Ovis aries: one gene and its partner. Each later gene encodes a partner of the first gene's protein in a complex. Links are inferred from orthologs where the notes say so. Each region holds a gene or a part of one and is shown on either strand. Other genes may lie near its edges.

What was found. The genes of interacting proteins can lie anywhere in the genome.
Region 2: the proteins of SCML2 (region 1) and histone H2A.J are in contact, whole or in part, in a crystal structure (PDB 4EDU), measured with the Homo sapiens proteins. The link is inferred for Ovis aries from reciprocal best matches to the Homo sapiens genes SCML2 and H2AJ. Residues at the interface, in NP_006080.1 of Homo sapiens: Asp182, Asn185, Tyr187, Leu188, Cys190, Phe206, Trp209, Phe213, Pro239, Pro240, Gly241; in NP_808760.1 of Homo sapiens: Leu35, Arg36, Lys37, Gly38.

Annotation. Positions count from the first base shown.
Region 1 is NC_056080.1:16,602,859-16,606,509, forward strand, and holds part of SCML2 (sex comb on midleg-like protein 2), read right to left. Parts: intron 2,589-3,651; coding exon 2,518-2,588; intron 1,687-2,517; coding exon 1,452-1,686; intron 1-1,451. UniProt on the Homo sapiens protein: Putative Polycomb group (PcG) protein. PcG proteins act by forming multiprotein complexes, which are required to maintain the transcriptionally repressive state of homeotic genes throughout development.
Region 2 is NC_056056.1:200,765,196-200,767,839, forward strand, and holds histone H2A.J, read right to left. Parts: upstream 1,239-2,644; 5' UTR 1,170-1,238; coding exon 780-1,169; 3' UTR 607-779; downstream 1-606. UniProt on the Homo sapiens protein: Core component of nucleosome. Nucleosomes wrap and compact DNA into chromatin, limiting DNA accessibility to the cellular machineries which require DNA as a template.

The DNA of each region.
Region 1 (3,651 bases):
AAAACTTTAAAAAATAATTTTAAATAATATCCTTTAACATTTAAATAAATAAACCTTTTAAAAAGTAAAACTATGTAAGTTGTGTTATATTAAAATGGAAACTAAACTATTCAAAAGCATCTCATGAGCAAATTGGCAAAAATTGTATTTTTTTATTATGTGGTATCACAATGCATACTAGTCAGCATGTATTGCTATATATTTCATATTTTTAATTAATAAACTCTAAAAAGTAATTTGAAAAAATAATGATTATAAATTTGGTTATGTGTCTGAAATGCTGACAATCACCACAGCTGTTTCCTTTAAACAAAATACAAACACATACTAGCATACTGTCAATAGAGAAATAAAACCCAAACATGGAAGCACTAAGCCTCAGATGTATATCTGTTACAGAAGTCTGTATGATTTAAGATATTATAAAAATAAGCAATAAAAAAATTTGAATGTTATGAAGAAAAGGGGAAAAGCAGAAAACACACATATCCTAAACCATCTTCTTGGGAATAACACATACTTGATTAGTTTTTAAAAATACTTTAAACCAAGTTAGTATTAATTAACCATTAGAAGAAAGACAATATAAAATGATGTTATTAGAAAAAACAGTTATTACTGTCTTAAATTTTTTATTCTCACAGCTTCTTTCACTAGTTGGAGACAAAAAAAATTAACTGTCTCACTGTGCATTATAATAGAGCATTTACATTTTAGCATTATAAAAAAGAAACAAAAACCAATACCCACCATTCACTCAGAATGTGCAAGTAATAAACTAAATACTTATATTCTACAGAATACCATGGTACACCAAAGTATTAAAACAGAAAAATTTTTGCACAAAATTAGGGTCATGTACTTTGTTTCTTTTAAAAACTTGGTTAAAATCAAGAATTTTATATTAAAAACCTTTGCTGAAGTGTTACATCAATCTCTTCCTTTACAAAGACCTAAAGTAACTGATTCCTACCCCTCTCACTATGATTTCTTCCCATACAGGTGTAATGAAATTCCCAAGCCTAACACTGGCGTCCCAGTGTAAAATCATCTCCTTCTGCCATGCTAATCCCCATAACAAAAAGGATGAATGGCTCATTAGACAATACTGAGGGAGGAAGTGACTCATATCGAATGCTACAAACTTCTCCCCCAGAAGGGTTTCTGAATCTGCAAGTGTAATCTGCTTTTGACATTTCAAGTTTTAAGGCAGAAGGAGTCTTGCTCTGGAGTGGGAACCTTTAGCCACACATATGCCAAAATATGTACTTAAATGAAACTCTATAACATATGGTACTGAGTTACTTTCTCAAACCTTCTCCACAGTAACCACCTGACCGTCTGTTTGCCAGAATGCCTAGGAGAAGAGATTTTCAAAGGGTCAGTTAAAATTATTTCTACTGAATATTACATTAGCAAAAATATTTTGTTTTAAAACTGTTTATCCTTACCCAGTGGAGGCTGAAGTAAGTCCCCTTCCTTTTCACATGTCCCAACAGGCTGTATGTCTGGAGAATCAACCAGCCGCCAAAAGTCATTTTGGTTATCACTACCATCCAATCTTAAACGCAGCCTGGCACCTGTAACTCCAACAACTGTAGCAATACATACTGAAGTCGTATTGCGAGGGTCATGGGCTTCCAACTTCATGCCAACTTTGAAGTCATTAGCTGGTGGAATCTTAGACTATATACATAAACACATACAAATAAAATTCTGTTAAAACTCTTTAACTGTAGGAAAATCAAACGGTCAGTTATGTTACCAGAATACATGAGGAACATTTTAAGTAACAGTTACAACAGTTGGTGAACAAAATGAGAGCTGTAAGGGTTAACAAAAAGATCTCCAAATTCTCTCCTTGGCTTGACACACAGCCTGACATGGCTGCCCACTGCTTGTCACTCACTCATCTGCCCACTTCCAGGCAAACCAAATACAACCTCTAAAATGCATCCTGAGTGCCTTTCTAATATAAGAATTTGATTAGGCCTTTACTCTTAAAGTAAGCCAAAAGGCAGCTTACCACTGCCTAATGTAAAGTCCAAACAGTCAGTATAGTTTAAAAGCCACCACACTTTAACCTCACTCCCATACTTAGGTCTCTATCTACTTAGTGCTCCAGCCACCCATACCATCCCTCAACACTCAGGTTCTTTTACGCCCATGTCTCTTTCCTTTGGATGTTCTCTCTGCCTGGAATATCCTTCCCCTCATTACAACTACCTCAGATAGGACCTCTTCTGTGAGTCCTTTCCAGTATAGTTATCACACTTTTTATCATTAATTATTTACATGGCTACCTTTCCCTCCAGATGGGCAGTCATAAGAGCTTAGTATACCTGACATAAAGTAAATTCTTAATCAATGAATGCGAAGAGACCATCTGGTTCTTAAGCAGCACTCCCACAATCCCACATTGCTTCACACTAATAGAACCTAATAACAGATTCCCTTCAACAAGTTAATAGTTTACAAAAATAAATATAACATGGTATCTACAGAATTTTGGCATACCTGTCTGAAATACTCTGAAGGAGCACTTAAAGATCCAGTCTCTTCCAAGTATTTTTCCCATTGAAAATTATCTGGAAAAAAACATGCAAAAATAGGTGGTTTTTTTGGTTTATTTTTGGGCCCCACCAGCATAGCTTATGGGATCTTAGTTCCCCAATCAGACAGCAAACCCAGGCCCATGTCAGTGAAAGTATCAAGTCTTAACCACTGGATTGCCAGAGAATTCTCAGGGTTTTTAAAACATATATAATATGTATACTAACTTTCAGGAATAAAATGGATTTTAGTTCCATATCTCTTTAAAGAAATACTTCTCAAAGGACAAATACAAACTTCCTCATCTGACTACCAGCATGGAAATAAAAAATAAGACCATTTCCTGATAATAATGGTTCTGATATAAATGATAATCCAGATTTTCTTGATGTAATGAGGACTGCATCACAGTGATTCTAAAAACGTGAACTCTAGAAACAACTAAAGGACTTTTTATAGCGTAATAGCAAATTCTACTCATATGTCTCTAATACTAATTTACTCAAAATATGTCTTTATCATTTCATCTCACTATTCTGAAGCTATTTCTTTGTTTTTCACAGGGATCTAAAGGTGTGTGGCATAGCAGAAATAAAGCATTAATTTATGGAAAGAAAAACTCTGAGAACCAGCGTTGTTTCTCAATTGACTATTAGATCTCCATCCAGGGTGTCAGAATATGGTGGCAGAATAAAGCAGAAACCAGTCATCAGTGCAATGACTAACACAGATTGTTGTAACAATCTATATTTTCTGCAAACTCCTTCTGTTCTTTCTCTCACTTAGTCTTGATGACATATAATGCTAGAAGTAAAGGTCAAAAGGCAGTACACTTTTCCCGGACACTTCAATTGACTGTGTCAGTCACAATGCCCTGAAAGACTTGACAGCAGTATTAAAGGTACTATTAACTCATATAAACTTTAATTCTCATCAAACATGAGGGTTTTTTTTTTTCTATACTCCCTGTTTAATTAATCTCTTTACTATAAAAATATTAGGGCTCCACAGTTCCCTCCCTAGGGGAATCTGTGTTACTAGCCCCTTATACATTCTTCAAAGGCTGTAACAGTTCCACTTACACACACACACATTCAT
Region 2 (2,644 bases), on another chromosome or scaffold:
GTCAGCGCAACAAATTTCCAACTTCATGACTCAGGCTTCTGCACTACACATATTACTGGATGGTTCCTTCATTTTAAAGAAATGTGAACATAAGCGTGCACACAAAAATATCTGACACCCCAAACAAGAAAACACAACAGCTGTCAGGCCAAGAAAAATCTGTTAAATTGACACCGTGTCGTCAAAGCTACTCTTCCAAGATCCAAAGTTATTCTCCCTTCTGAAAAGTGTGGCCGGACAGACAACCTCCTGCCCAAGACCACATCTTCATCACTCTCTTTCCTAGAACTGGTTCCGGAACTGCCCTAACAGGGAGCACAGGCCCTGGGAGGCGGATGTAAAAACAACTGGCCCAGCCTCATCTGCACCTACTCGGCGTTGCCTCTGCCTCCGGACGAGCAGGGAAAGCCCCCGACTCTGCCCACCTCCACGCCAGTGGGTCCCTTCTGGTCTCCCTTGATCCGCCCGTAGCGCCTCGAGGGTGGCTGCGGAACAAAGCTGCCCAGAAAGTGGCTCAAGCCGACCCACCAGTACCTCTTCCAAAGGTCTCCCGGTCGCCCCTGGGTCTCCCGGCAGGGCCCCGCGACTACACAGCTCTCTCGACCAGACGATTTTCACCGACTTTATTGGGCCCCGGACCCAGTTGGTCTCGCCGCCCACCTCCCCACTAGATGGCTCCGGCTCTCCATAACATCAAGCATATTCAAAAACACTGCGGGCGGGGCGACTCTGGAGAGAGCCCTTGCTGGGAAGCCGGCTCCCCTGTGGCGGCATCAGGGTCACTTGCTCTTCGTCTTCTGACTCTCCGTCTTCTTTGGCAGCAGCACGGCCTGGATGTTGGGCAGGACGCCGCCCTGAGCGATGGTCACTTTCCCCAGAAGCTTGTTTAGCTCTTCGTCGTTGCGGATGGCGAGCTGCAGGTGGCGAGGGATTATCCTGGTCTTCTTGTTGTCCCGCGCGGCGTTGCCAGCCAACTCCAGGATCTCCGCCGTCAGGTATTCCAACACCGCCGCCAGGTACACCGGCGCCCCGGCGCCCACTCGCTCCGCGTAATTACCCTTGCGCAGCAGTCTGTGCACTCGGCCCACTGGGAACTGCAGGCCCGCTCGAGACGACCTGGATTTGGCCTTTGCCCGCACTTTGCCGCCCTGCTTTCCGCGACCAGACATGTTTGTCTCTCGCCTAAAACTCCAGCGAGAGGAAAAAACCCAGCGATCCGGTTCCTAGTACAAGAATGCAACGTACCACACCGGAACTGCCTCTACCAACACTTTGCTGACACTAGGCAGCGCCTTCCCATTGGGCTCAGCAGCTTCCTTGGCTCCGGTGACCAATGACAGGCAGGCTCCCAATTAGGACGCTGGCAGAAGGACCACCTTCTCCACCTTTCTCCAATCAAAAGAGCAAACTTCTCAGTCCTCATTTACATAACCGCTGATATAAATATCTAGGTCCGCTTGCTCCGCGGTTGGGGTTCCATTGAATTTATTGAGTTCGGCTGAATTTAGCGGATTCTGAGGTTTCAACCTCCTCCGTCGCTCTCAGGAAAAGAATGTCTTAAAAATTAAGGAACCGTGGTAAGAAACAGAAAAATCAGGAAGGAGAGTTACTCCTTAGTTAACTTAGTCAACAAATACTAAGCACTCAAGCAAGAAATGCCTCTAGCAGTTCGGGCTGAGTATGCCCGAAATTTTTGACACATTACCTTTATTATTATTGACACTTAAAAAAAAAAACCCCTTGTAAGCAAAAGAGATCTCTAACTTGAAAATGTTCTAAGCTTGATTTTTAAGTAAATACTAAAAACAAAGCAAAACAAACAACAACAACAAAAACCCTATGTTGCCATTACAAGAATCCTGACTCTGCCACACTTTTCCTTCTTTTGAATCAAGCATTAAAATCATGCGGTTCAATTTGACTATTTAGGACTCCCCACCCCACCCCCACCCCCACCTCCCAGCCATCCTGTGTTCTGAGGGTTCTTTTATTTCTGCTTTAACAACAACACTATATTTTTTGTGCTATAGAGATGGGTGAGGATAGGTACATAATAAGCAAATATTTGCAATAAAGCTTTCCTACTGGAAAGGCTTATTCGTCAGGACTAGGTACAGGGAGCACAATTTACCAAAATATTCATTCCTCATGGTGTTAAGTCCTGGGAAAGAGTTATGAATCATACTTAAATACTGCTGCCTTTTTTCACAGTATGAACCTTTTGGGAAAACAGTCCTATCTCCTAGAGTGGTGACACTGCTCAAAGTTCCGTTTTTCTCAAGGGATTTCTTAAGAAATGAGAACCTCCTGATTTAAAGCCATGATCATGGCATCCACCATTTCACAAGAACGTCGATTTTTGATGAAATAAGAGCGTTACATTATTTTAGCTAATCACAGAAATTGTCATTTGACTGAGAAGCAAAACCCCGTGCTTGGGCTGGGGGTGGGGAACGGAGGAAGCAGTAAAAGCTGCAAATTGTGCAGAAGCAGCTGCAAGAGAAAAGTCGGCGGTGGGGGTGGGGAGGAAAGGGTAAGGTTAGACTTCTTCGGAAAAGATTTTAATTTTTTCTGCAGGGGGCCACAAAAGAGAAAACGATTGAAAGATTTCCTCTACCCCAACTGATGACTTTAAAAGACCCAC